3 linked regions of the Oreochromis niloticus genome follow. The protein of the gene in region 1 interacts with the protein of each later gene in a pairwise test. Links are inferred from orthologs where the notes say so. Each region holds a gene or a part of one and is shown on either strand. Other genes may lie near its edges. The genes, in order: fhl1a, mybpc1 and akap12b.

Region 1 (10,109 bases):
ACAACGGGATGATAACAAAATGAAGAGAATGATAAAGTCTGTGTATGTACCTGCTTGCAGTGGAAGCATTTCTTGGCAAACTTCTTTTCGTGGCAGGGAGAACAGTAGATGTCCTCACCCTTGGCCAGGAAACTCTGTGTGCGGATTGGCTGCTTGCACTCAATGCAGGTGAAGCATTCCTCATGCCACACCTTGTTCTTGTACTCCACGTTCTGAGATCCTGAGTGACAAGATGATTGAAAACAAATTATCTGGGCTGAAAATTTGCTTAGTCTATAATGAGGAGGGACATTATGTATATATATTTATCAGTGCCCTGTCTGATATTATCATATGTACTGTCATTACTGTTCCATCTCTTCGCTAAAGGTTCATGCTACCTTGTTGTATCTGAGTGAATTTTTAAAATTAAAAAATTCATTACATCCTATAACCTTTGCCGTGTTTATTAAAGTGTTGTATGCACAAAATAACGTTCTATAGAAAAATTATTACCCACAGTAATAATGTCATGATAACTTTTTTAGAGAGAAAAGGTGTGTATATGGTGCAAACCCACCTGGCATGACCACCTTGTAGCAGCCCTGGCAGCGATTGCCATCCTCTCGGGAGCTGCACTTGCCACACATTATCTTCCCATCATCCCGAGCGCTGAATGGCTCACTGGCCAGTGACTTGTAGCACTTGGCACAGCGGAAACAGTCCTCATGCCAGTAGCGGTTCTTGTGGTGCAGCTCCTGAGGGGAAAAAGCAGGGGTGGGGAGGTGAGCAGAGGTGCCCTCACTAAGTCCTCATGCAGCCCTCATTAAAATGGAGTTTGTTTACTCATCATGTGGACTGAGGCTCAGGGGCCGAATAGAGAACAAACCTATGTGACCAGCATAAAAGTGGTAATGAAGTGAAGTAGGGTGTGGTGAGCCATGAAGGAGTTAGAGGACTGAGATGGGGGAAATGCGCAATGAAGTACATAAGCTCCATTATTAGGAATGACACATCTTTTCACACAGTTAACTGCCTGTGACCGAGTACTGAGAGCATTTTCAAGGCAGAAGTCGGTGCTTTATAATAGCCAGACCTCAAGTTAAAGCCAGAAAGCACTCTGAACCTATAGTACATACAGTTAGGTCCACAATTATTTGGACAAGCAGCAAGGTCAAGCAAATACTGCCTTCAAAGGATTTTGAGGAAATTATTAGGAACAATCCCTTATGTCAGGTTATTTTAGTTTGTCCAGTTACTTTAAGGCCCTGTGAATAAAACTGGCTGTTACACCTAAACTGTTTATAATTTAGTTAAAGGCCTTGAATTAAAGCTGACAGTCTGCATTAGTGACGATTTACATCTACAAAAGGCATTTTTAAATTCAGATAGCTGGCACCCTGGGTCTACTCAGCATGGCTGATGTGAAAATGGGCTATAAGCAGATCTGAAGTCTCCTTCTCTGCAAAATGATTTTTAAAATGTTTTTATTTTGTCTTTGGAATCTGCGAGGAATATCTAGAAGACTTCAGAAACCCTAACCCATTTAAGGATCTTTGCATTGAACCAAATAAAAGAACAACTATTAAGTATAATAGTGTTTAGGATATATTCATGTGTGTATTTTCTTTTCAATTACAAAAGAAATCTTTATATTACACTCAAAGTTTAAACAAGAAAAAAAAATCATTCTTTTCCATCCACACTATTTTCACCTTGGAGTCAGCACCAATGGGGCGTCTGCACTCTGCGCACGTATTGGCGCAGAGCTTATCGAAGCACTTGGTGCACACGTGCTTGTCATCCTTCTTCACATACTTCTTGCCATGCAGATTGTCACGGCAGTAGTAGCAGTCAAAGCGATCAGTCATGGTGGAGGTTAGATAACTCCTGGGACCTGTGAGGAGACGAGAGGAGGAGAGTGTCACTGAATGTGTGCAGCGAATCTGCTCTCCACGTTTAGGTCTGCCTACATGACAGGATGTTTCCTTGTAGCACCAGCAGGGGGCACTGTTGCTTTTTCTACAGCCATGGAATCGCCATATAAAGCATTTTGAACCCCTTATAGTGGCAGCTCAGAATGAGCGTTTAAGAGCAAACAAATGAGTAAGTTTGAAGTTGCTTATATTGACAGGTTGAATATAAGCAACAATACATTCCACCCACATATATGAATATATACATCTGACCTCTTAACCTAAAAAAATAGATGCTGAATTTAGATTTAGTCTTCAGTGGAAAGATGTATATGTTTTTTCTGTTTTCCCATTGAGACACTATGACATGTGGCTCTAACAGCAGCATACCAAAGTGATGAGAGAAGTGTGAGTGAGGTAAAAAAGCAGCCCACAGATGTCTACTTGTTGATTGCATGTTTCCTGGCCTGTAGACTTTTTTATCAAGCTCTCCCTGGAAAGCTTATTTTTAGACCATTTGACTCATTCCCTTCACCCCCTCCACCTCAAAGCTGTCTCCCCAGAGCCCCGGCCCACATTCGATCTTTTGTCTTGCGTTTTGGCCAGGTCACTTTATTAGATGATATTGTAAACTTTATGTCAGACTGGCTTTGCTACTTTATCGGTCAACATTCCTGCATTCCTATCACAGTTGACATCCAGTGGGAGTCATTTTCTGGTATAAATAGTTATTCATAGGGTGGACAAATAAGCACTATCTAGATCATTTTAAAAGCTTATCTGGAAGCCAGAACGGGTAGCTGAACAGTCTGTGAACTTTAGAAAAATTGATTTATTTGGATACACAGATATCATTTTAATGCGATGCAACAACAGCTACAGAGGAAACAACGCAGGGTATGACAATTGTCCCAGTAACCATAGGAGCAAAGAAAACATTTATGCAGGGAGCTATTTAAGTAAGATGTGGTAAAAAAGCCACGTGAAAGAGATGCGAGCTATGTGGTGTGCCCTGTTCTGCAGCTGTGCTCGAGGGATAAAGACTGGACTGGGGCCTGAGCAGTGACACGCCCTACTCCATCTAAACTCACCCCCTTGTAGCATTTCATGGCAAAACCCCCTTCAGTCCAACACAGTCAACCTTGTCAAATCACACACAGTACACATTACTAAGCCCAGCAAGCCCGGAGATCTATTTTAGACTTGGACACTCTATTTAAAGTCCATTGACCTTCCAAAGTGGACAAATGTAGATGGATGCAGACTGATGACTGCTGGGACTATGCAGCTATTGTGGCTCCAGCTGACACATTTCCAGGACTTTAATCTGCTGTTGCAAACAGCGTGACAGCTGCCCCCTGTCAAACAGCCGTGATGTACAATGATGCTCAGCTGTGGTGGGAGAGGTGTATACCACTGTGCTCCCTTCGGGGAGGAGTCCTCTTTAGTGGGAAAGGTCACAGTGAGACCACTTCAAGAAGTGAGTCAAACACTGGACAGACTGAATATCAGCCGAAATAATATCTGTTGACGTGTTCTGTTCTTTGCCTCTGATTCTAACATTCCTTAAAGAAGGCCTACTGAAAAAGTTCCCATCTTCATGTGAAAGTGTTATAGAGGTAAAGGTGCATGGCAAGAACAATTTCCAAAATTTCAAAATAGGCCCCTGAACACATTTAAACAATCACTACATAATTGAACATCCACACATTGTAATATTAAACCACAAATCCATAGTACAACATGGCCTTTTCATGATGATACAATATATTGAGGAGTTATTGGGTCCACTAAGTTATTTTACTGCAGAAAAATACAAAATTCTCCATAGTGTAAGTAGATGTAACTATATATGTAGTTATGTATGCTATTTAACAATCACAAACCCGTCCTCTAAAATGAGAGTTGTGAGTTCAATCAGCCTTTTAAACACCGTTTCAATAAATACTCAATATTACATTCACGCAGAAGGTAAAATTCAATGCAGCTACATCAGCTTCAGCTAGGTGAACAAAATAAACTGGCATACTTATCTTATCACATAGTATAATTGACTAAAATTTATTAAATGCTTTTTCTCTGGATGTTTTTTTTACATTTCATGAAAAGTAAATAAAGTACAGGGAATATTTGAGCTTTAATTGTGGTGTTAATTTACTCATCCACCTTCTGAAGTGAAAAAAAGGTCCTTGAATTCAAGTTTTGTTTTTTTAATACATACTATTCTGTAGATTTGTTTTGATCCAAAGGGAAATGTTATATCTGTATCAGAACTTTAGTGAGGTTTTTGATTAAAATTTAAACTACCACCTGAAGATGTTAAAACTGATCATTTAAAAATAGCCCGTATTCATATTACAGGTGAGGTTGTTTCACACATCAAGAAAATCTCAGCGGACCTGCTCCGTTTCTCTGAAAACAATCAGAAACAACACATTGACTTCATTATCTGAAAACAGACCTGTTCTTCTTACCTGTTACAAAAACATTTTGCACCAGATTAGAAAAAAAAAAACAGGCAAAAAGTTTTTACCTGAGTGTCTGTATGTCATGTTTGCCTTCCAGAAAGGCCGAAAAGAAGAAAAGAAAGATAACACAGGGTCAGTAGCATCCACAGAGGGTCAAACCTGGAGACCACACATCTTGTTAAGAAATGGGGGGCTGTATATACCCCTCTGTGACCCGACCCCACATCCAAATCCAACCTTCAACCCTCCTGTCCTTTTTAGGGAATGCATTAGAGAATAGATTGATGAGAGAGAGAGTATGATGCAGAGATTAGGTGATGCAGATTGGATTCCTCTGCTGTAACATCAGCAGGTGGAAAAAAAAGAGGAAAACACAGTCTGGGGGGTTTGAATGATGACCGCGAGGGATAACAGATACTCCCACTGCCCTGACTTTAAATGTTTTGTTAGGCTCTTCAGAAGATGTACAGCTGAAATGTGGGATAATTTAAAGGGATGACTCACAAGAGGAACAAGTTGATATTGATTGAGCTGAGGAGGGAAGCTGTTTGGTGGAGAGTTATATAAGGATCTCCTCTTATATATTCATGAGTGGATACTATGGAGAAAACTAGTGGGGTTTGAAGAATAGAAAAAAATGAAGCCAAGAGTGCTGAATTCTTTCTCTGTTATCTTGTTGATTCAGATTTCAGGAAAGAATATTGTATTTAAATCCAGAGGAAACACCCACAAATTCCTCACTAATACTCTCGCCAAAACCAATTCTCCTCATCCAATTACAATACTTAACCCAGACCAACAGCTGAAACAGAAACATTTGTTATTATTAACGAAACATGAGGCCAAAATGATTAGATATTATTTTACAGAAACAAAAGACAGGTTCCCAAGTCATGAGTAGAAAAAAAACCCTTCTGGTTAGCAAACAGCACATATGGAACAACATTATCATTATTTGGAGCTATCTATTTGACCACCGGATCAATCAGTATATCAGATATAACTAATATGTTCACATTTCTTTAGCTGTGATATGGTCTATGAAAACTCCTTAAGGTAAATACTTGTATCAAAATGTTCCACTATGTTAGCCAGTTGTTTTGCAGGTCGTCTACAACATATTTTTATAACAATTTTAAAGAAACTACCTGCTGTTTCCTAAAACAAAGATATAAAAGCATAAAGAGTAAATTAAAACAGTAAAGTTGTGTTCTAGCGTTTGACCTAATGTTATGTTCTTCCTTACATTCAGTTAACTTCCACTGTTTCTACTAATACCAGAAACATTATGGTCACCATCATCTTGTTTTCTCATCATCTTGTCAGCTCAAATGCAGAACTACAGAAAGCACTTTCTTCTGATTCATTCAAGCTTTTAGAGTCAGACAAGTTTAAAGCCAGAAATATAAGACCACGACGAAAATTAAAGGAAAGTGAAAGCCCACAGACTAACAGAAAGTAAAGTCTAATGAGTTGGGAACCATAAAACTCTCTATTTATTCCCTAACCAGTGTATAGAAAAGAAAATGTCCTATGTTGCTCACAAAACACATCTAAATATACACACAAACTAGTGAGTGTGTGTCTGTGTGCTTCTGCCACACTGTTTAAAGGGCATCTGGTTGTAATTACAGATTCGATTTGGTCCATTACCATAGAACACAATATTACATTTGTTCTCTTTTATAATCTGTCACGCAATTACTGCAAACCCACAAAGACTAATCAATATGTCGAGAGGCGCCATGACTCCCAAGCCTATAAAAATCTCCAGTAGATGGTCTGCTCAGGAAATCTGTTACTTCTCAGTTTATTTGCATACTTAAATTTAAGTCTTGTTTCAGATTATTATGTCTGTAACCAGATAATTTTGCCCCACATCCTTTTTCTCCCTTAGTTTGTTTGGGTCATCTGTCTTAGTCTTTATCTCCTTATCTGCACTGCGATGCATTCCTCTCATTGTTGCATTGACTTCATGTGAATTTTTAAGATAAGGGGTGGGGCAAAATACTCCATGGAAAATTGGAAAGGTCACAGTCTAACAGTTTGACAAACTGAATAACTGATAATGGGATAATTATGATGATGGTGGTAAACGGTGGATTTTTTTTCTTTCTTTTTATTTTTTAATATTAAGGTACACACTCTGTCATTTAGAAGGTTTTACACATCAGGACATAATAGATCATCCAGATATTACCAGATATTAAAATTTAAATTTCCTTATATAAGTAAAACCTCAAATGAAGAACAACACATGACATAGTGTACATCCACGTTTCATTAACTTGCAGAACTGCCTGCAATAATTTAAAGTAATTGTTTTCTGCATGTACTTATCAGTCTCTCACAACATTGTGGAGGAATTTTGTCCCACTTTTCTGTACAACGTCGCTTCAGTTCATTCACAGGTTTTTTTAAGGTCTCACCGCAGCATTTCAGTCTGGTTGAGGTCTGGACTCTGACTAGGCTTTTGCAACACCGTGATTCTTTTGTTTTTCAGTCATTCTGCTGTATATTTGTTCCTCTGCTTGGGATCGTTGGCCTGCTGCCTGCCCCAATTTAGGTCAAAATTCAGCTGTCAGACAGATGGCTGACAACCGAATTCAAACGTCACCCTCTGCCACCTTGCTCGACAGTTGGTATGAGGTATTTATGCTGACATGCTTTTTGGTTTTCTCCAAACATGGTGTTCTGCATTATGGCCACACATCTCCAATTTAGTAGCGCCTGTCCAAAGGGCATTGTAGCCTGTTCAGATACAGCTTTTCAGAAGTAACATGCTATCAAAGTCTGAGATGTAGCACTTTGGTTTTTGGTGTTTTTTTGCAGTTTCTCTGAGCATTGCAAAGCCTGACAGTATGGAAATGACCTCATAACCCTTCCCTGACTGACGGGCAGTAACAATTGCTTCTTTGAGATCATTGCTGATGTCTTTCCCTCTAGGCATCCCTTAAAGACACAACTGAACGCTCCAGAACAGCAAACTGCCAAAATCTCTGCTGTTATAGATGTGCTCACATTTACTGATGATCAGTGATTCAAGTGCATTTGATTAAAAGTACCTGGCTGCTACTTATCCTTTTTTGGGAAACCCAAATAACCCCTGGTCAGCTGACTCACTAAAATATGTTCCAAATAAGAAAATCCAGGTTGGTGATGTAATAAATTTGCCATTTTTACATTTAGAGAAAAAAGGAGGACAAAGGCTGTAAAGTCATCCACACTGCTGATGGAAACAGACAGTAATACAGGCAGTTATATGCCCTCTCACACAGTGTGTGTACTTTTGAAACTGCTCCTGTTGTGAGACGCAATGAATTTGATGAATTTTTAGGTAGAGGTTCCAGGCTCTTTATCTAACACCTCTCTAAGCTGGCAGCGCCGAGAGACAGGAAATCTGGCCTGTACTTCCTGAATAATAACAAGTCATTCGGGGTGACTGACATAGGCAGCCACCCTCATTCTCATTGTTACCAACAGCAACAAAACCCTTGTCTATTTGTCTGAGAGCTCATTTCTCAACATGACCTCGTGTCCTGGACATCTCAGTGTCTCAGTCACCCTCCAAATCTGGTTAGTGGGCAGACAGCCTGAGCCGCACTATCTCTGTCAGGGGAACAGTGACTCACCAAACACACACAGAAACACACACACAGCGACATAGCGCACCAACCATTTGTTCATGTGCGGAGCTGTGTTACAAGATGGACATAAGGTCAGGATGAGACTGCAAGACCCAAACACGCCGAGGTCAAATATATTCCAATGAAAAGGCCACAAGGGACGGTCGATCAACACAGTAACACTCTTGTTGAACTAATATATCTTAGATGTGAGTGTTGCTAACACACGTCAGCGTTCTGGTTGTCAGAGTAATACAATGTTATACTTGTACGTATAAAATAATGTTAAACAGCAAAAGGGTACCTTTTTTTTTTTAAATTTCATAGTCATTATCCTACTTCTCCAGGCCAAATCACACCATGATCTATGTCATCATAATCATTTGTTACTCTAAGACTGACTTAGGTTGGAATTAACATGAAATAAAGTCATACTTTCCAAATTGCATGACCTTTCACTCAGTTGCATTTAACTGACGGCTATAGCAGTTGTATAAAAGCATATACAGAACAGAAATATAGCTATTTAAATCTGTTGAACTCAGTCCCACATCAAACAGCTACAGTGACATGCTAATTAATTTTTGTGTAATGACTGTAAATGGGCACATTTTGCACACTTGTGCACTTAATTACGTATAACTTTAATATTCAGCAGTGTAAATTTGCTCTTTTTGTGTTGACATTGAACTTGTATATAAAAGACCGTATAACAACATGATCCGTCCTTTCAAAAGGATAAAGAATCCCAATCACATTTTTCTCAGCGATGTTCTGTTTGTTTGTTTTTTGTGTGGCTAAAGAGGGAAAATAAAGGAGGACTAGTACATCTACACAGAGCACAGAGAGGATATTACTTCCTCTCAGCGGGGTCGGCCCACACAGATAAACAAGCAGCATTGCCTATTTAGGTTCTGGGCTGGTGAGAGCGCTGTTTCATGCGTTTCATCAACTCAGTCATCAGCACTCAGGCAGAACCTCTTTGTTTGTCTCTCTCTTCACTCTGTTTACACATATGAAAGAAATGATGGAACTTCCCTCTTAACTAAAGTATGTCTCTGTCAGGATAAACTGCTGGCTTAAACACCCCCCCCAGTTGCCTAAGTGTGGCAGATGTTGATGTAAGGTACCCTCACAGGCACTGACACATAGCACTTTAAATGTATATCAACTATATATCACATAACAGGCTTTATAAATGAATAATCTGTCACTCCCTGCTTGGATGTGTACACTGCTTTTATACTGATTTTACTAAAAGTTAAAAAAAGAAAAAAGACTTAGACAGGAGGAACAGTCTTTTTAGTTTGAAACTGGGTTAATTTATGTCCCATTTAAGTACAAAGTTTTTATGGATTTTGAAGGATGGTGAAGTCATACTGGAAACACAAAAAGGTCCAGTGTTCCAAAGAAAAAGCGGTAATCTCCAGGTCTCTTTAATGACATCATGCATTTGGTTTGGCAGCTGCCCAAACGGGAAGGGAGGAGATGGTAAGCTGGTTTATGCTGTCACAGTTTATGGCCACACATCATACCTTTGGGTTTTGCTCTTCATTATACAAACAAAAATGTATCTGTAGCACATATATGTCAGTACAAACCGTTACTAGATTTCCAATCCAAAGCAATATTCTTGCAACTATTCTTATGAGTGTAAATGAGTTATATCCAGATATTATATAGTATATAAGAGTTCCTCACAGATTACCTTAGAATTAGTTAATTTGCTAATAAAAGTAAGCATAAGCATATATCTATAAACATACGGAATACATAAAAGAACATTTTCTTCTTCATTTAAATATATGCGGGCTGACGCCCTAAACAAAGCGCATCACCTGTTGCGTGCCATAGTGCATGAAATAGGCAGCTGATTTCAGAGTAATTCAAGCATGTTACATATTTCCACACGGACACTTTGCGTAATTAACTTAAATGTCTGAAATGTCCGTCCGATAAGGAAGAAAAGTAACAATTACGCATTTTAAGTGTAAGTTTTTGGCACAAACATCCTTGTGATAAACCGCTCCTTGTTTCACATAAACTAAAGCGAACTTTAGCAGCTGCCTAATAATGCGCTGCGGTTTGGACTCACCTTTGCAACGCGTAAAGATGAGCGC
Region 2 (10,504 bases), on another chromosome or scaffold:
AGCTGGTTTATTCTCCTGCCTTCTATCTCTCTGGTGTACCTCCTCAAGCGGCTGGCCAAGGCTGTGAGTCTTTGCTTGGCAGTTTCCAAGGCCTCAGGTATGGACAGCTTGCTGTATTTCTTATGCACCTTCTTTGTCGCGCCTTTCTGCAACTCCGTTAGTTGGCTAACCTCCCTTCGTGCTACTTTGATCTTGCCCTCTAGCCTCCTTCTCCATGGAGGGTACTGCCCCTTGTGGCTGTTCAACTTGTAGCCAAGCATCTCACTGATCACTGCTGCCGTAGTGTAGATCAGCTTGTTAGTGTCGGTAATCGTGGTTGTAGGTATCATCCGTAGTGCTGCATTAACATCATCTAGCAGACCTTCTGAGGGTACTTCACGTAATCTTGGTAACCGGCTAGGGGGGGTCCAGGTTTCAAGCTTGGCCATGATCCTATCTTTCAGGTCAGTTCCTCTCGCACTCAACGATCCTTCTCCTATCGCACTTGGGGCTATGTACCCAATCTCGGGTGGGGGTGATGATATCTCCCCCCTGACCTGGCGTCCTGACTCCTCCTTGCCGTAGCATTTATGTTGTACCTCGTCAATCTCTAGCTGTGAGAGCAGTCCCTTCTTTCGAATGTTGGAACACTGAGCTACCAGTTGTTTCGCCGTCATTGTGGATGTTGGGTATCGAAGAATCCATAGGTCCCTCATCCTATTCATGTAACCCCTTCCGCCAGGGTTACTTGCGTAGTAGCATTCCAACAACGCCCTGTTTTCGTCTCTTGCCCACCGATGCCTTCTTGTTCCAGTAGCCCACTTGTCGTCAGGGTGCCCCGGTTCCTCAACACCTGACGCGGACCTTGTTGATCCGGGCGACGTCCGAGCCGGCATGCCTTCATATTTATCTGTCTCGCTCATGTCTGCGGTAGGCTCACTTTAGCATAGGGGGTCTAGCCTTAGGACCCTTACTGGATACAGACGCCCCAGGCAGGAATCGAACTTGCGATCTTCTGCTCCAAAGGCGTGTAGTTTAACCACTACGCTATCCAGCTGCTGGATAGCGTATATATATATATATATATATATATATATATATACGCTATATATATATACGCTATATATATATATATATATATATATATATATATATATATATATATATATATATATATATATATATATATACATATATATATATATATATATATAAGTTTATTAGAGGGTTTTTTGGTACTAAAACACCTTGGATTCAAGAAAAATGTGAGATGTGGAGATTGTTTAAACCTGTTATTACAGCCATAAAAATGTATATTTAAAAAAGTGAACTTAGTACTTCATATTCATGACATTAAATGTCAGTGGGTGAACATATGGGAATCCCAAGGGTGGAATATTGTTGAAATGTCTGTATCCCTGTAAGAAAACTTTCCTTCCTCCGTGTATTGTCCCATCTTGTCACTGCCACCTGTTTGAAGCCCATCAGTGAAAACTGTAACCCTAATTCCTTGTGCAGCATGTCTACTGACATATATACATTTTCTTGCGTTGCCACTTAGCTTCTGATATCCCTCCATTTGTAATGATTCCCTCTTAGCATTCCTTGTCAAAATTAGCCACAGTCCTGTCTCACTCCAAAACAATGTGTTGCTGGCCCGTGTGCCAGAATCCTGCAGGGTCACATCATGTACCCAAGAGCGAGCCTTGCTCTCTGTCTCATCACCGTAGAGATAATGAGAGTGGAGAAAGGTTTTGTTTTACCTCTGAGGACTCTCAGTGCAGCTGACGGAGCTGCAGGTATTTTCAGCTGTCGCTGCTGCTGGCGTGCAGACAGAAGGGCTCATATGTGTATGGAAGCTAAACGGCCAGAGGCTTCATTTTTCCTAATATAGACCCCGATTGCTCTGATAAGACACTAAAGCTAAAGCTAATATAACCAGACCCTTTCTGGTGCTTTAGTTTCTCCATTTACTTTGACTTGTTTCTAGTTTGCTTTGATAACAACTACACTGAAGGACCCTTTAGGAATCAGCACTTGAGTGGCAGTTAGTTGCTGACAGGTTTCCCCTGTGTATTTCATCATGGGCTTGATTTGCTAGGTGGTATTCAGTAACACAAGTATTTGAGGATAAAGCCCAGGGGAGTGTTGGACCTTAGTGACAATAAATATCACGAGGTAAAAACGTGGCCTTTACTACCTCTGAAATTTTGTCACAGTTCATGAGGATCGCTGGGCACAGATTTGGAGATTTAATAGGGAGCTGCCTGACCTCTGAGTGATCCATCCTGAGCACAGGGTGGCAGGGAGGTGTCTGTTTTGGCGTGGAGGAGGGGCAGTGAAAGGAGATGGCAGTGAACAAGGGATGGGGATTAAAAGTGTGCTCATTCTGAACTATTCCAGGGACAAGAATCCTGCTCCCTAGAGATCCAGGGACAACTCAACCACTCCGTCATCTCTGGTTGGGACTTTTTAAAGGCTTGAGAGCCGGGTGTCTAAAACAACAGCCCCTACCCTCCTCCTCTTCAGCTGTTCAGACTCATTTAAAGAACAATACTTTTCCGCCCTTATTTATCTGCTGCTTGGGGCTGTGCAGCTATTTATGGGTAGTGTTTGTAGCAGACAGGAATCTGCTGCCTTTAATTCACCACAGCCTTGATTCCCGAGGGATCATGGATGGTCATGGCACCAGATGAACTCTGTAAGGACAGGTATTGATTGTCACATCACTTCGCACATCACACTCTCTTAACCGCAAACGACGCAAATAGAAAGGGAGCTAAATTTGTACTGTAAGGTACTGTTAGGGTTTTGTAGCTTTCAGATTGTCAAGTTAATCCTTTAATCCAGTATTTATAATGCTTTACGATCTAAAAGGCAAAGCTTGCTTGATGTACGACAACCCTCAGTCCTTTCAAACACCTACAACAAATTTTAATGGAAGGTAAATCAAATACAGAGATGTATTTGTTTACAAAGAGATGTGCAAACAATGCACAGCAGTCCAAGAGCTGGTATGGTCACATCAATCCTCTTCTAGAGAATCACAGATTTTGAAAGTTTGATTATCTGTAATTTGGAAGCCATCCAAAAGCTGAACAAAACATTTGATTTCCTCTACATGGGCATGTCTGGGTCAACAACAGATGCTACCCAGAGAGCTGAGCTAATGGGTAGAGTGGGAGTAATTCCATAAGGTAATGACAGACACAAGTGGATTAAAAGGGAATGTTGATGGACATGATGGTACAGATGAATGACAATCAAGTGCGAAAGAAAGATCCAACATGAGGGCGCGACAGGGGATGGTGAAGCTGCAGTTGAACAAAAACTCAATTGGAAGATATCTACAATCAAGATGTTATTTATCCTTACACGGTTCAACCCTCGCACTTTTTATCCAGCTTGCATCATCCCTCAGGGGTAGTTTTTTCCTGTGCCTTAGCACTCATCATTCCTTTCCTCTCCTGTGCTTCACCATCGTGTCTTTCCCCAGTCAAATCAATCTAAACCGATCCAGTATGCCAAGCTTTGCAATAATACTATCTGTTTGTACGCCTCAAATCTTCTCTTGTACCAAGGATGGTAGAAACACGCACGCATCAGTAATACAATACCACTTTCAAAGTCACTTTGAGGATTCCTATGAACAAGCTGGCAGGCAAGCCAGAGTGATGGAGCTCCTCACAGCCAGTAACAACAAACTGTGCTGCCCTCAATCAAACAAATAAAAAAAGCAGAACCACATTGTAAACCTTTAACTGTTGCAAATTCTCAGCATTTGTACTTTTTAAAACAATTAAAACATAAACTGCAACTGGTGGTTGGACCCCAGCTGCATGCTGGCAACATACTGTTAAAACTCCTACCTTTCTTTGTTGGCTCTGGCATCTTGAGCTGCGTCCCAAAGAAGCTACCAAGGAGTCAAAAGATGCAGGTAGGATTCTTGTGTGAGGCGTGGGAGCCTCCTCAGTCCAGGAGGGACAGATAGGTGCTGATGGTGAGCAGGACAATAGTGAATAAAAACCCTCAGAGACCCCTTGCAGCAGAGTGATGGGAGATAAAGAGGGCACAGGGATACGGTTTGGAAAAGTCAGTGGGGAGAAGAGGGGGACCGATAACAGATCAAGGAGGGACAGGCTTTTAGGCCTTATATAGAGATGTGGCATGCTCCTCCTCTCTGTAGTTGACAATGCAGCTCCATCCTATACCTACTGTAACATTATTGTCCCCTATCCCCATGCGATGCCATGAATTACAAGTGCATCAGGATGTTAAATTCACAACACTTTTAACTTGACTGATTTTCAAAGTTTGCATCAGTGTTTACAGCATATTTTGGGTGGTGTTTTAGAGTAGTAACATTATAAAAAATCATTGTTTGAGCATTTAAACACACAGATGGATTGTTTAAGATTTGTTTGTTTTTGTAGTAAGCTGTGCTTACAAAGGCTTAAACTTTGTATTTAGTGGAGAGTATTTTCAGTAGCAGATATTGTTTACTAGCTCGTATTTAAAGCTGCAGCGTGATATATGTGGGATCGACCTAAAAATAGACCGCACACATACATTGTGATCAAATAAATATGTCGCTGTGGTGCTGTACAGTACATTCAGCTACATGTGGAATTATGGAAATTCCAGATTTTGGATTTTTCCAAAATATCAACATTAGATTGACTAATTAGTCTTGAAATTATTTACTGTAGCCTTTATTATTTATCTTACTTTGCAATATCATTACTACTAAGATTGCTTCCGCGGTAGATCACTGGCAAAACAGGAGGTGGGATATAAAAGGAAAAGGTGTCGTCATTGTTAACAGGCCCGAGGCTGATGTAATACTCTCCGACAATCCTGGGTTATGCTCACATGATATACGACATATTCAGAGAATGTATGGATTCGTTATTCAAAAAAAAGAAAAAACTTAGAGTTGACAAGCAGGGGCTCAATGCCAGGTGCCAGATATCAGCTTAATCCAATGGGAATGCTGTCCAAGAACAGCAGGCTTTCCGACCTGGCAAATAAATAGTGGGGAGATGCCTGGGCACTGGTTATACGGCCTATACTTAGAAAGCTGTCATAAACCTTGACATTTGACATGTGTATCTGACATGAAAAGAGGGTTTCATTGAGATTTATGTAACTGAAAGGGTTGCTTTGGTCCTAATTAATCTTTTTAGCACGTCAAACTCAAGTGATAAATCAAACGTAGTCTTTAATAAGGTCTTGAAGACTAAATAACAAGGTTGAAAGCTGATGGATTTACGAGCGCCAACACACTGAAGCATCCTCACATGTACAGTGTCACTCTCCTGCTACTAACAAATATCACGAGCATGTTGGGGATCTCTCTCGTATGGAAATGGATGGCCCAACTGCACAGTCAAGGCAAGGCTGAGCTCTATTTTGGGGCTGTGGAGCAGGAATGCAGCTTAAAGCATTATGAAGAAAATGTGGCATCACTGCCCAGACAGTCACAGCTTATAGCAAAGCTCTTTTTAAATGAGCAGCAACAAAATTAGACCCATACTGCAAACCAAAGCAAATTATCATCCTGTGATTAGGAAGCATTCAATTTATCATACACTCCTGCCTTAAATGCCTATTTTCATAGTTCACTTTGTGGCCTTTCTTGGTAACAGACAACCATAGCTCAGTTAGCCCATTTATAACTGCAAGTGGGCTCCAGCAGTAAATACTAGGCTTAGGGAAGTATCATGTGGGCTACAAAGAGAACAAAACCATTTGGAGTTGCCTGTGAGGGACGAGACTTCTCATCACAGAGGAGGCTAAGCCGTGAGGTCACATCACACAAATGAAGTTTAATGGAAGCTGGAGGCGTTGAAAAGGACTACACTGACACCCTCTGGCTTCTAGCAGCCATCAAATCCATCACATGAGGAAAAACACAAGTGCAAATGCACATTTCTGTAGATTGAGAAAGACAAAGGCAACTTTGTTTCCAGGAGAACGTGTGACTAAAAACTACAGTTTTTCCTGTAAAATACTCACAACCAAAAGTGTATTTTGGATAGATGTATTTTTTAGGACATATGGAGACATGCTTGCAGAAGAAATTATATTTAGTAAGGAATAATTACAAACTATCTGCTTATGTAAAGACCTTACCCACACATGGATTTGAAATTTCAGGACTTCAGTGGTCAACGAACGGGACTTAATTCACATTTCTCTCCCTCTGTTGGTTATTTTGTATTCTAGATCGTATACAGATATTGAGGAGTGGGGATTCACCTGAAACCTGAGCAGAGTTAATTAACTGCACCTGTGTGCATATGCTCCGGGCTTGAAACTGTGATACTCAATTACATTGTTAGATTACAGACAGTTAGGATAACAGTGCGTTTTCCATGCTAAATCAATGCTGTAGCTGGGCATCAAGTATAATGTCCAGTTATGAAATATATAGCTGTCTTGCAAAGTGGGGCATTTACACGCTGAATAAATAACATAAAAAAATAAACATCAAATAGCCCACCTCTGTGTGGCTTTTTTTCCACATCACATAGTTTAAAATCTCAAGTGTGAAAACTTATAAAAGGTTTTTATCGCATTTTTATTAAATACCATACTGTGCAAAAGTTTCAAGACACCCCTCCTTTCTTTGTATTTTGCTTCCATGCAGCCAGACTTTCTTGTGTTTTTTAAGTGGTCTTAAGTATCATTTCTCCAGGCTTTCTGAAAGTTTTTCACTCATTTTTAGTCCAGTCCTCGTACCTGACCACTTTCAGAATAACATTTTTGTTTGTTAAGCTACTTAAGACTACTAAAAAAGGCCTTAAACCTAACACCTAACTCAAGGGATGAACCAGTATTGGGTCTACACATAACAGAAAATTAACAATGGGTCAATTTTAAGTTCTGTCTTTATGAACTTTGTGACTCGCAGTTGCATGTGCATTGCAAAAACACATAATTTCTTTAGTTCAACCTACAAAAAGTGCTAAAGGTAACAGTGAAGGTAAAAGTGCTAAAGGTTTGACAGGCATAAAAGGTGATTCCCAGATAGCTTTCAGCCAAAAACTTGGCATGTCTCAGCATGCTATGTAGCATGTTCTTAAAAAACTGAGGAAACTGGATAAGTGGACTGCAAAAAAGAAGAAATGGCAGGCCTTAAAAAAAACAACAGGTGAAAATTATCTCAAAGTTATTTCCTTAAGAAATAGGAAAAAATCCAGAAATACCCTGACACAGGACCTGAGAGATATATCTAGTCTTTCAGCTGATTCATTCAATACTTCCTGAAGCCGCATCAGAAACATGCAAATATTATGTGGACCTGTTCTTTATAAAATCTTCAAATGAGCTTCAAATGTGTAATTAGGTGTACGGTGAGTGATTTCAGCTGTTTGTGGCACACGGATTGGAAAACTTCGATGTTTATGTAAAAGTTTTCCAAAAAATATTTTTTTAAATGGAGGTAGTCCGGCAGAAAGTCAAAAGCCAAAACATTATTTGTATGTATGCATTTTATCTCAGCCCTGATAAAGTCTCTGGAAATTTGCATTAAAAAACATTAATAAGCACATCTTTGTTTTACACTTGCACCGTTCTTGCCTCCATAAACCAGAATAACCAGATTTTGAATAAATTCATTTCTGCATTGAAGCCTCTGACTGTCCATCAATTATATTCTACCTCACAGATGCAAAAAAAAAAAGCTCCACAGCAGTTCGATTGGGACATTTACTAATAAAAAAGTTTAAAAGTCAAACTCCATAAAGATAGAAACAGTAACAGTAAAATATTTCTTTATTCTTTTGATATTTACACCACAAGCCATCAATAGTACAATATCTAAGTAATAATGGAAAAATGTAGGAAATGAAAGTTGAGATTAACAGACTTTATAAACAGGAAAAAAAGAGCACAGTTCACTTCACATGATATGAGCTACAGAAAATTGAGCCTGCATTACAAATCTCGATGACATTTCTGCAGCAACATCAGGGTGTCTCGGCTAAACTGATAGGTGAGCTTCTTCTTCACCTTGAAGATCTCTCCAGACCGGGCGTAGTTTCTAAGCGCCCTGGACATCTTCTGGTAGGTCATGGGTCTCTTGTTGCCTTTTCTCTGTCCCCACAGTGCAGCCACCTGGTCCTTATTCCTGGAGGAAAAGCGGAAAACACCGGCGGCAGCTGGCACCCAGGACAAACAGTGGGCCATGTTTGGATTCTCCAGCATCTCAAAAAGGAAGTGAAAGAGTCGCACCCTTTTACCTGCAGCCATTATGCAAACAGTAAGTGGCCTGTATGATGAAGGTGGATTTAAAGAAAGACTTAACGAAAATCATGGCAGCTGTGCCAAAACAGTTACTACAGATTACAGTTAATCGTTTCCTCAATTGTCGCATATTCCCAGAAAATCTCTTCAGTGATGGGATGCCATTTAGTGGAGAGGCTAAAGCTGTAAACAGTGTGATTATCTGATAGATATGTAAAAACAGCTATTGTGGTAAGCGATGCACGGCTCCATTGTTTTTTACGGTAAAGGGAAGGTCTCTTATTTGCTCTCTTGGTATTATTTCCCTCATGCTGATAGCAACAGAGACAATAACAGTATCCAGTGACCAAAAAAAGCAGAACTCACCACTCCTCCCTACTGCGGCTGGGTGTTTGGTTGATTTTCTTGTTGTCGCGAAGCTTGGCACTGACCCACGCTCAGACAGTGTTGCTGTTGTGTTTTGGCCGAGTCCTGCTGGAGCATCTTGTGCAAGAAAGGGCTGGAGTGCAGGTTTGATGTTCTTCAATTAGGGAAAAAAGATGAAGAAAAGAAAAGAAGAGAAACAGAATTTCCAATTGCAGAGTGCTTACCAGCCTTTAAATAAGTGAGAGAAAACAAGTGCTAAAATACAAAGTATTGATGCATACAGGTGGCTCATAGTATGCCCAGAGTTGCTTGCATGTTTCGTCTGCAGGTACATTTCTTTCCTCCATAGCCGTCCAACGCACCTTGTCTGTCAGAAAAAGCAGAAAATTACTTAGAAGCTGTAGTCAAATAAAATCAGAGAATAATTAGTAGATTTCCATTTTCTGCTTACCATTTTCTGCATTGTTTTGTCTGTGATACTCCTCGAGGAACTCTAATATAACCTCCAAATCAGACTGAGTCTCCTGGAAAAAATTCTGATAGATGTAAATAATATAAAACCAGCCTTGAATATGTCAGAATTGAAAAGATGTTGCAAGAAATTCTGAAGACTTCTCTTTACCATCACTGATAAGGTTGATTCGAATGCAGTACAGTCCTTGCAGAATGGGAGAATTACACACAACTGACACTGAGACACTCAAGTTCGGGGACTCTTATTATACCCCCCACGGGAGCGGGCTTTCTGCATACATAAAACCAAACGTTTTCTACCCTGGGCTCGCAGGAACAATGACCACCATCCCACAAAGCCCCCGACACAAGCACCAGTCAACCCATCAACAAAGCCTCCCAGCACTGACCACATCCTCCCCGCTGAACCAGATAAGACCTGGCCTGGAGGCAGCTTCTACACAATGCTCTCGATTCAGGAAAACACACACTTGCTGACACATTTTTCCTCACAGGATGTGTCTTAATTTCATATTTTGTGTGCCTGTTGTAATATTTCACTGCATTGCAGACGGTGCCAAATCTTTCAACATGTTTTTTTAAAATATATTTTTGCATGATAATAGCAGCGTGTAGCTTTATTTTTATTTTTTTTATTTTTTTGGACAGATGTTGAATCATTGAAAGACAATGATATTTTCAACTCAGCAAAACTGAACAATACTGAGAAAATTATTTAATCCTTACCAATTAAATTATTATATCTTAGTATTTATGGATAAAGAGTAGTGCAACCATGTAAAATATTTTCCACTTAATATTTACATGTCATGTAAAAATGATCATTAGAATTTTAAACATTATTACCTCTTTTTATTAGTATATCAAACATGCTACAGTATAATTTATATGTTTGGTGGTAAATCTTGAATAATCTAGTGGTGATATGATGGTAATTATGAAGGCTGTAAACTAATCAAATTAAAATATAGTTTGAAAACATTTAACTAAATTCCACATTTTCATTTTTTGCTATATTAGAATTTTAAAATAAGATTTTATATTTTCTTGTTTTATTCTGTGACTTTATGTCTGTAAAAAAAAGTTTAAAGTTTTTACTTATTTACTTCAGGCTCTATAAAGAGCTACAGTCAGTCTTTCTTTTTAAAGAAACATTAGCCAGCTACAGGTTCCTGTCAACATTAATTGAACTGAATTTGATTTAATTTACTCTGATTTATTTGGACATTTAAAAATGTATACAACAGTGTTGTTGAATGATTACAGTGACATAAAAACAATCCAAACGGCAAAAAGAAAACTGGAGCATATTAAAGTAAAACAATATGCTAAATGCATGAGCTCCACATAGGTTTAAAAAAAAAAGAGAGTAAAAGAGGCACTACAGATGCTAACAGATTTGTAATCATGAATTTCAGTTCACTGATTGCTAATA
Region 3 (10,603 bases), on another chromosome or scaffold:
CTGTCTCAATGTACTTCCCCGTGATGCTCCGTATCTGACACAAGCTTTCTCGTTGCTCTGTAAACATGATCAGGATTAACAGGACCGTTCCTCTGTTGACTCATTGTCATTCAGAAACTTAAACACGAAGTCCTTCTGGCAGATGCGATGGATCAAAACCTTTTAATGTAAAATAATTACAAGGCCCTCTAAACATTTTTCCGTTTATGTTTTTCTATTTTTAAAACTCTAAAATATATCTCAGTTGAGCTTCTTAATGCCCAAATCAAAACTGTGATTCTCTCTGACTTCACATAGCGCTTATTAACTGTCTCGTACCTGCAGGACCTCCTTTCGTTTATATTTTGACAACAGTAAAAACAAAGCTGCCATTTTCTGCGGGCGTATTCATCACCGCCAACCTTGAGTTAAATTAAGTCTAGATTACAGTTATTGAGCTTGTGTGGAATGACCCTATTCTGTCTAATTTACACAAGTTGTGATGCTAAATGTTGGCAGATGGTGTTTTGGTGTAGAGCAGCTGTGTTGTGGTGACGGCCTTAATGTGAGGTCATTATATAGATTGTAATTTTACCTTCTTATCTGATTTTTGTGGCCACTGACAGTTTCATGAGAAGATCTGTACCAGCTGCGTGTGCTTCCTCGGATATGTCCACTCATTAAAAGCTTTCTTGAAATTCAACTAGATTAGGATAATGGTAGACGACAGACATATTCTTTTTTCTTTCCAAATTCTATTGCTTGTTGATGAGTTTAATGTCATCTGAGCATCTTTTTCATTTCTAGGCAACGTGGATTGTCACATAAAAAGGTTTTTAGTGCGTCCATTAATTCAGTAGCTTATAAATCAACCTCTAGCATTTGATTAGCAGTGGCTGCTAGTTATTCTCTTAATTCTGTGGTCTGATATCTCCATATATGCATTTTTGGTGACTTCTCATCAAACTCTTTGTTGGGTACATGATGACAGTAAATGATTGACATAATTAAAATTAAATAGATCAAAATTAGATTTATAAGAGTTCAAATATGGGTTAAAGTTCTTCTCTGATGTGTTTTCCCTCAGATGAGCACAATGCCTGGCCTGCCCACACGACCCTGTTTCTACGACATTGACCTTGACCCGGTCACGGAGGAGATCACTGGGCTCTTCTGAGCATGCTCCTCAACGTTATTCTCGTGGGTATCATCTCATCTGTATCATATAAATTATTCTGAAGAAGCTGCCATTGTTTCGCTTTACATATTTCACAAGCAGCTATTGACAGTACGGTTCGTTACATCGACTGGCTGCCGGGATTTTGCTGCGTCTCCAGGCTCAGAGGCCCTGCAAACATCTTTGTTTTTGTTTTTTGGTTCCCAGGCTCCCTGCTCTGTTTTCAGGATCATGGGCTCCATGCATTCACCATAAGGCTCATCTAACCCCAGCGCCACTGGCAGGAAACAATTTCTTTCTCTTCCCAGCTGATCCGCATCAAAGCAACATGGAAGAAGAGGGAGGATTAGCGGACCATTAGATTAGCATTATGCTGCATTTGCACGTGTGTCATATGCCAAAGACCGTGCCCTACAACCATATATATGTATATCATACATCCTCTACTTGTGTCAACTTTTTTCTGGGTATAGAAGAGTCTGTTTACTTGGATTTTATTTTGTTGTTTCCTTGGATGTCTAACTTCTGTTTATTTTTCTGGAAAGAAAATCAAATGTCTTAATACAGTGTTGTTGTTTTTTACCTAAATGCAGTGAGTAGGCAAAATTGTGAATTAAGATGCTGGTGTACGCACAAAGAGCCCTGATAGTATTCATGTGACTTTGAGTGTCCTAATCTGTTAAGTGGTGCTGAATGTTAAAGATGCTTTACATACACTGGGAAACACTACAAATGTCAATTATGTTCATAATTTCTAAGCAGTTTTTTCTTAGTATTAGTAAATTATTTTGTTTTGTGGTTTGACAAGAATACATTGTGCTTCTGTCATGTTATATATGTTGTTTGGAGGTATTTCAGACAATACCGACCAACTAGATTCCGGAGCTTCTTTAAGTATTACCTTCAGAAAAGATTAAGTCAGCTATTCCCTGAATTTTCACTTTTATTCCATAGAGTGTAAAACAAACAGAGGTACTATATGAAAACATCTGGTGCAATCCTGAAAGCTGCTGTATGTCAAACATTTCATTTGTCAAAGATCAAAAGTGCCTTACAGCAGTAATAATAAACCTTTTCTTCACTCCAAAACTGTGTATTTCTGTTTTTACGTCAAGCATCTGACATGAGCTGTTTTCTTGCTATCGTCTCGCGATTCTTTTTGAGATGCTGCGATACAATCGTGCCTCCTTTCACGGATGAAACCTTTAAGATTGTCTGTGCTTTTCTCATTTCTTCCCATGTGTTTTGGAACGGTGTCTGAAAACAGATGATCCCCACCCCCACCCCCCAGCAGCACCCCAGGGTGCAACATCTGTCATTATGAGGTGTTTGGGTTTTCAGCATGAAGCCAAGTGTGCATGTGTGCACATGTGTCATAGCTGGCATTCCACACTTTCAAAGTCTCCGTGTTATTCTGCGTGTTCACCTGGCAGTGGGAATCTTATACAGTAGCACCCCAACAGCAGATTTAGTGTGTGTGTGTGTGTGTGTGTGTGTGTGTGTGTGTGTGTGTGTGAGAGAGCGAGAGAGACTGAACCCTCTTGTTTTGATCTGATGACAGATTTAAAGATGTGTTGATAAGCTGTACACTTTGGCATTGCACTGTAATGCGCTGACAGATCCTTGTTTTGTTCGGTTAGAGTTGTTTACAATGAGTTTTTGACTCCATCTGAGAAATTGTTTAGGCTCTCATCTTTTAGCACTTCTGGACAGATTTAATAGATTTTCCAATTTCAGTACCAAGGACAGTGTCCTGTTGAATATTTCATGTGAGAGGAATTCCAAGAGTTTCTGGAAAATTGGTCCAAATAGTTGAAGCTGAATGATCCTGGTCCCCAAACATCCAATTCACTCTCAGTTGTTTCAATACCTTTATACTAAAAAAGTGCTACATTAACTGGGTCCTCTATTGAAAGTTATTCAATTAGTTTAGATTCTAGCTGCTCAGCAGTCCTGGGTCTATATGCTATGCTTCTCAAATAAACAAACTGGTTCATATTCTAGAGCCATCCAGTCTGCAGAAAACTATAAAGTGGCGAGTATCTGCTTGTGAATATTGCTGAACACTCCCTCCTCTAAATGTGCCTTTAACGTACCCTTACGCTACTATTTCATAGAGCTCTGAGCATGACATATCTAGTAATGCTTTCAGTGTAATGAGAACATCCTTCCTTTTTCCTCTTCCATGTGACACCGGCACTACAATACTGCTCATTTATAGTGTGGACATACCCTCTGTCTTGCTGTCTCAGTTGGTGTTCATGAGTTTGTTCGAGATTTTACAAGATTGTCAGCTCTGCTTGACATCTGAGTGTTATTGTAATACTGTGTTCAGTTACTCTTCTTGAAATCTCCACATTCCTCTTTTCACTGTGGCCCAATAGCTCTATCTTTTCTCCCCAAAACTTTTCTTTGGCTTGTCTATGCGGACAGTAAATGGCAATGTAGACTGGCTTCACTGTGGACAGAGTTCTAGCACTTTCCATTTCATTGCAAGCTTGAGCCTTAGTGGTTCCATGATTGTTTCTGATCATCCTAACCAGTTTCCCATTAATCTTCCCAAAGTCCCGACCTAAACCCTACTGAAAACTTGTTGGCTATGATTTCCTGGCGTGGTCCCAGCTTCTAAGTAATCAAATCAATGAACTATACCAATTATCCCAAGAATAGTGGGCAAATATCCAAGCAGAATTATGCCAGAAGCTTGATGATGGCTACCAAAACTGGACTGATCGAGGTGCACCTTGCTAAGGGACATTAAACATCACTTTGGCTGCATCAGAACAATGATGTTACCATTGTTTATTAGATTCAGACATTTTGCCTTATCTTCTAGACATACTTACATTTAAATCAAATCTTTCTGGAAGTCTCAAATAAATCCCAGTCAAAGCCAGTTTACAAAGTCAAAAGGGTTTTAAAAATTCAAAGATGGAAGTCTCCATGACACAAAGCTATTTTTACTGGAGAAAAAATAAAAGATGTATAAAGCAGCAGTGAGTGGTCATAACAATCAGTGTATGTTGCTTTAAATGAGTCCACCTTATATTACCAGTAAGTAGCAGATGATCTCCAGTCCCTTTCAGCTCATGTTGCTGTTATTGTTTCATAGTTGTATAATGTGTCCTGTGTGTTTTACTGTTTGACAGGTTATATCCTGTTATTTCTGAGTGTTTCTCTGTGTAAAGCCTTCATTTGTGTTGTTGCACTACGTGCTTGGGTTTGTGTTTTGGTTTAGCTGTCGGGACCTTAAGTTTAGGCGTGTGTGAACTTGGCTTAAAATTTTGGACTATAATTTTTGTGTTCAAAAATTCCAAACAAAATGACACATTGACTCAACCTACAATTACAATTACCTACAAACCAGTTCTGTAAACCAGAGTAACTGTACACACACTTCATCAGAACAATGAATCACAGCAAAATGTAAACAAGATTAAAAATCAGGATCTAAAGAGATGTCAGAGAGATTACGTCATGGAGCGAATTCAGCTGGAATAACAGAGACACTGTTTGTTGTGTTGCAAGTGTTATGAAGGTTGTGTTAGTGTTTTCACATGAAGCACAAGAAAGATTGTTTTCTCTGCAATACAAAATGAGGTGGATGTCAAAGTAAAGCCAGGAGAACCTTTTTAAACAGGAGGAGAAGTCTTACCCTACCCCTAGCATCCTCTTCTCTAACTTTGTCTCCAAACTGATCAACCTGAGCTGTCTCTCTCATGGATATGTAATTCTGTCTATCCTGCATCTTCAGCTCTGCCCAGCATGTCTAAATACCATTTTGCTGCCGTCATTCTGTCACAATTCACCCTGCCACTCGTCGTCACTTGTTTGCGGGTCCTTCTGCATTCAGTTTTGTATTAAATATCTGAAAAGCATACTCTGTTTGGGTTAAGATCAAGTAACTGATGTGGCCATTTCTCATTTCTTTGTGAGACAGTCTCAGGTTGCTTTTGCAGTAAGCTTTGGATCATTATCCATTTGGACTGTAAAATGCTGTATGATTAATTTTGTAGCATTTGTCTGAATCTGAGCAGAGAGTGTAGCTCTGTACACTTCACAGTTCATCCTGCTATTTCTGTCATCAAAAAACACCAGTGAGCCAGTTCCTCTGCAGCCATACATTTACCTTCCTCCACTATGTTTGACCGATCACAAGCTGTTCTCTTTCCTTCTCTCCATATTTTTCTCTTCCTATCATTCTGGTGCAAGAATTACAACATTTATATATCTATATCTATATTTGGCAAAGTCAAATCTTGTTCTTGAGTGTAACCAGTGGTTTGCACCTCTTGACCACCTTTTGTTATCTTCTTTTCTCGTGTTAGATATTCCAGTGAAAGCTACTAAATGCAAGTTCAATATTCTGAATGAACTAGATCTTTGATTAAATTTGTCATGACAACAAGGGAAGAGGTCTTAGCTGCTTATCAGTCAGCTGACCAATTCAATCTGCGCCTCTGAAAATCGGGCTCTATGCATAAAAATGTCTTTAATTCCTAAAAAAAAAATTTAAAAAATGCATTTTTGTTGTTAAACCACTTGAATTACAAGTCTGCACTTTTCTCACACTTTGACTTATTTAAAACTCATTGAATGTGGAAAAAATGTGTCATTTTCCAGCAACTCATGGACCAAACTGTAAAAGTGCACAGGTAAATTTTGTCCTTATATATGCTTCCTGTCACCAAAATCAAGAAATAATGTGCACCATGGTTTGATTTTATTTCACTGTTTTTTATGCCCAATGACTCTTCTTAATTTCTCTTTTTACCAGTGGCATCAGTGGTGATGTTTACAACTTCTGCTCAAACTTGTCGGATTTCTACCCTCGTGTCATTGCTGTGTTTTTAAAATTGCTCAAATTTAATTTACCAGAACAGAACAAAACTAACGGATTAATGCGGCGTGTGAAGAAAAGGCCCTTTATCCTTTTAATTACTTGACCTCCTCTTCCCTCGTTTGTTTATCCTCCATCCAACTCTGCTCCTGCAAGGCGTGCCGCTGCACACCGGAGCCCCCCATGTGATACTGACGGGAGATGCAAGAGGTGGGGGCGTCCTGAAAGAGTTTGCCAGTGCCGACGCTTCATCACTCCAGATCCAGGCCACCCCGGGGCGGAGCTGCATCGTACATCGGACGCTTTGGATATTCGCTCCCTAAACACAGTCGTTCTGCTCTGGCTCCGTTTATTGCGGAGGCTTATTTAGACCGAAAGTAGCCAAAGACGAAAAGAGTTGGCCATGGGAGCACAGAACTCAGCGCAGCAGGACGGGAAGAGCCAGGAGGATGCCTCAGCCTCAGCTTCAGCCTCCGCCGGGGATCTCAGCGCAGAAGTGAAGGCGCACCAGGAGGGAGACAGCGTCCTGGACAGCAAGGTACAGCCGACACTTGCGCCTTTTTAGCTCTGTCACAGTAAACAAGACCCCCCCACCCCTGCACGGTGAGCAGAGAGACAGACCCGGGGGCGGGGGGCTGTATCTGCGTATGCTTCCAGCTGTAAAAGCTGTCGTTTTGTGCATTTATTGTGAGTTCACCTACATGTTTGCAAACATACCTGTCGCCCCCCATCCCGCCCCCCAGCCTCAAATCATGTGCTTCGCTGTGTGCATGAGTAATGTGCTGCAGCGCACCAGCTCCATGTGCGCCTGACGCTGTTTTTGCTGAGTAATGGGTCGAGTCTGCAGTCCCGCAGTAATAAAACGCCAGCAGCAGCTCAGCCTGGTCCAGGTTTACAGCCACACAGGGCACCGTTTAGTCCCGGATAACGAGCATATTTTTCTTTATAGAGTAGGAACTGATTGATTTGACCGCTTTCGGCCTGCTTTGACCGGGAGAAATGACGGATGTGATTCTCACAGGGACCGATGATTGCATAATTAATGTTCCTTAACAGCAAAAATTGACAAAAGTTATTTTTATACTTCATCATAAACTATTAATCCCAATGTTCTTTGTAATTCCCACATCTTTTTAAAGATGGCACAAAAAGGTAAAAAACAAAGAAACCCCCAAACAATTAAAACTAAGAAAATAAAATGTGTTAATAAACAGAAATCTGATAGATACTCAGATTTTCATTACATAATTTTAAAACTACATGCATTACAGTTCAAGAGGTGGTGTTGTTAGTCCAATGTCAATGTTGATGTTAGAGCACTGAAGAAACACCTGTTTTTATTTTATCTCTGCAAGACAGGAAATAGTTAAAATGCCTGTTATGATGTCTCAAAGCCCAAGATGCCACCACTTTAACAGTCTTAGACACAAAGATGAAAACATTCAGTTTTTATCTAGCGCCAAATTCTTTTGGAGGAGAAGGTTTGGCATTTGTGCTTGAGAAATGACTGATGGGGAAAAAATAAACAGGCCCACTGATCAGCTAATTATTTAAACCTTTCCCTTCAAATGAAATCCAATCAAATCAAGCACTTTGATCTCGTGACTCAGCTGTTAGGAGTAAACAGCATTAAAATGCTTTACATTTCCCATAAGCTGGGCAGTTTTCCAACTCTAGTGTCACATTTAAGTCAGATGACACTTCCCGAGTCCCTCTGAAAGTGCAGGAAAGTGCAGAATTTAAAGATAATGAATGTATTTTTATTTCTCATTAACTTTTGTTCTGTTTTTTTCCACATTTGAAATTAAAAGTATATAAAATATTCCTATTCCAAAAAGCTAATATGCTGTTTTCACTGCTTTAGCCCTGCACCATGCTGGGGTCCAGCTGCCACCACCTGAGGTATCCTGCAAACACTGCACTCTTACCAATGTGTCAGTTGCTCAGTATTGTGTGAATGCATATTTGGAAAGTGCCTACTAAGAACTATTTATGTCTTCACCTTCTGCTCTGTTCACGCCTCACATAACCCATTGGATTTATTGAGTGTTTTATAGATTAGAGGGCAACAGGTTACATTTTGTGGCCCATCTCAGTCTCTTTAAGGTCAGCAGAGAGGTCACATGATACCTTGGGTGGGGTAAGGGGGGGGGGGGTACATTAAGAATCTAATCCAGATTTGAATCACGGTCGTTGCTTCTTGTTTATTTCCAAAGAACGTCTGTGTGGCGGTTGGACGTTTTAGCCTCAAGCCTCGAGCTCTTATCTCAGGTGTCATCATGGATTGCAGTGTTTTCACTTGTATTTCCAACTAACTGTGGGGACTTTGTGATATGCAATATTTCAAACCTCCGGGGTGTTTTAGATACATCTGTTATTCTCTGTGATTTCAACCGTGACAGGTTGGAACAGTTTGTGATTCCCAGTCTACGTCTCTGTCACTGACAGTAAATTTCCAGTCATGCTGTTTTGCTTTTTCCACATCAGTTATTACCAGCTAGTATCAAATATTACTTAATTTGTGGAAAAAAATGAGAATTTGTAGGACAGATCTTTATTTCTAATTGGAGCAGAGTCATGGATCTTTAAGGAGACCTTTTACGCCCTCCAAAAAAAAGTGAAATTTACTAACTTTTCCTCTCAGTTGGAGCGAGCTCACTTTGCACGCTGTTGCAAGCATGAGCCTCTAGTCATGGGTAAATGGATGTTTTCTTCTCTAGTGGTTTGTTTAGTATGTGTGGTTCAGTAAAAGGAAAATACTACCCGCATGGAAACAACACTGAAAACAAGGTTTGTGTGTTCTTGAGTAAGAGTCACCACTCGCAGAGATGATGTTGCTGCTGAATCTTTTGTCACTTCCACTGAAAAGAAAACACATCACATGTCTAAAATGAGAAAAGGAAACATTTTGAGAAAAGTATCAGTTCATTTAATTTCTTCATTCGTTCTTTTGCCAAGAGTTTGTTGGGGAGACCTGGATGGGAGCATATGTTGCTTTAAATCCTTTGTATGCCTTTCAGCACTGATGGTGCCTTTCCAGATGTGCAAGCTGCCCATTCTATAGGCACTACCACACTCCCATATCATCAGAGATTTAAGCGTTTGAGTGCTGATGACACGCTCTTTAATGTGTAGAAGAAGTTGCTGTGTCCACGTTTTCCTAAAAGAATTTCACATTTCGATTTGTCTGACCACAGAACAGCCTAAATGAGCTTCGGCCCACTGAAGGCATTTTTGGATCACAGACAGCGATCATGGAAGTGTTCCTGAGGCCACGCGGTGATTTCTTTGTCAGAATCACGCTTGTTTTTAATGCTCTGCCGTCTGAGGGCCTGACGAACACGGGCAGCCAGCATTGTTTTTAAGCCTCGTTCCTTGCGCACAGAGATTTCTCCAGAATTTTTCTGCGATATTATACACCATAGATGATGAGATGATCAGAATCTTCACAATTGTTGAACCTCTGTCAATCTTCAACTCTGAGAAGCTCAGCCTCTATAAGATGCTCTTTTTTATGTCCATTCATTTTGCTCACCTGTTGCCAAATTAACTCGGTTTTTCCTCAAAATAGTTCATTTTCTCAGTTTAAATATTTGACATGTTTTCTGGTTTCTATTGTTTTCTTCATTCTCTGAACTGTTACTTTTTAAATAATGTCTTTAAAAAACTCCTCAAACTAAAACCTTCCTAGAGTTTTTTTTTTTTAATGAATCGCTTGTTTGTCCAGCAAATAAAAATCTCAACAACAGCCACACATAATCTAATTAAAAAAGCCGGAAGCTGGAGCTTCGGCTGTGTTTTGTATGAAAATGAGATTTTAAAGACTAAACAAATATTTCCACGTCAGTTAAACTGACAGGTATTTGACCTCTAGTCAAGACTTCAGACGTTTTCTTGCTGTTTTCCTTTTAAACCTTGTACGTGTGTCGTCCAGCACAGAGGAGAACCATGACCTTGTCTGTGGCTCCCAAGTATTTTATACTTGAACCATCCCACCAAAAGAAAGGAGTCGCTGGAAAACTGCTGTTTTCTCTGTAAGTGATACACGTCTATCTAAGATGAAAACAGATATTTTAAATCCATTTATTCAGAACAAACATCAGAGTTAGACAAAGCATGTAATCTTTAAGGGTCTATTTTCACGTACATTTGTATAATATGTTGTATTTTGGGGCGAGAGCGGGAAGCGTGTGTGTGCTTTGTTGGTTGTAGCGGTTGGAGCCTTCATGCTTGATACACAGTCGATAAATATCCTCCTCACTCCACAGAGGAATGTTAGAAATGTCTCCCTCTCCACCAGCGCCACGGCCCGCCTTGCTCATACCACTGCGTCTCCTCGACCTCACGAGTGTTATCAAAACGATCACATTACGCTTGTAATTTAAGTAGGTGTTTCCGAGACATTTTGCTTTTAGCGCAAAAATGTTTTTCTTGAACCCACCTCTGCTGGCTTTGCTGCTGTTTACATGACATATTCTGTGAACTTAGAGGCTCAAAATAAGAAGTAAACATTCATTTGTGCTGGACAAAATAAAAGTTTGTCCAGCACAAATGAAAAAAATAGTTAAAATGAAGAATCAAAGAATTTAGATCACACAGTACTACAA

The links.
Region 2: the proteins of fhl1a (region 1) and mybpc1 interact in a two-hybrid assay, tested with the Homo sapiens proteins (2 studies listed by BioGRID and IntAct). The link is inferred for Oreochromis niloticus from reciprocal best matches to the Homo sapiens genes FHL1 and MYBPC1.
Region 3: the proteins of fhl1a (region 1) and akap12b interact in binary tests that used the Homo sapiens proteins (3 or more experiments, as listed by UniProt). The link is inferred for Oreochromis niloticus from reciprocal best matches to the Homo sapiens genes FHL1 and AKAP12.

Annotation. Positions count from the first base shown.
Region 1 is NC_031966.2:19,264,717-19,274,825, reverse strand, and holds the start of fhl1a (four and a half LIM domains protein 1a), read right to left. Parts: upstream 4,549-10,109; 5' UTR 4,448-4,548; coding exon 4,429-4,447; intron 1,877-4,428; coding exon 1,695-1,876; intron 738-1,694; coding exon 560-737; intron 221-559; coding exon 51-220; intron 1-50.
Region 2 is NC_031981.2:14,133,010-14,143,513, forward strand, and holds the start of mybpc1 (myosin-binding protein C, slow-type), read right to left. Parts: upstream 4,091-10,504; 5' UTR 3,871-4,090; coding exon 3,849-3,870; intron 1-3,848. Other genes in the region: spi2 (GA-binding protein alpha chain), read right to left, coding at 7,921-8,225, 8,596-8,749, 8,877-8,962, 9,047-9,131, 9,218-9,220. UniProt on the Homo sapiens protein: Thick filament-associated protein located in the crossbridge region of vertebrate striated muscle a bands. Slow skeletal protein that binds to both myosin and actin.
Region 3 is NC_031980.2:11,537,347-11,547,949, forward strand, and holds the start of akap12b (A-kinase anchor protein 12b), read left to right. Parts: upstream 1-6,205; 5' UTR 6,206-6,399; coding exon 6,400-6,534; intron 6,535-7,865; exon of another isoform or gene 7,866-7,898; intron 7,899-10,603. Other genes in the region: mthfd1l (monofunctional C1-tetrahydrofolate synthase, mitochondrial), read left to right, coding at 1,067-1,156. UniProt on the Homo sapiens protein: Anchoring protein that mediates the subcellular compartmentation of protein kinase A (PKA) and protein kinase C (PKC).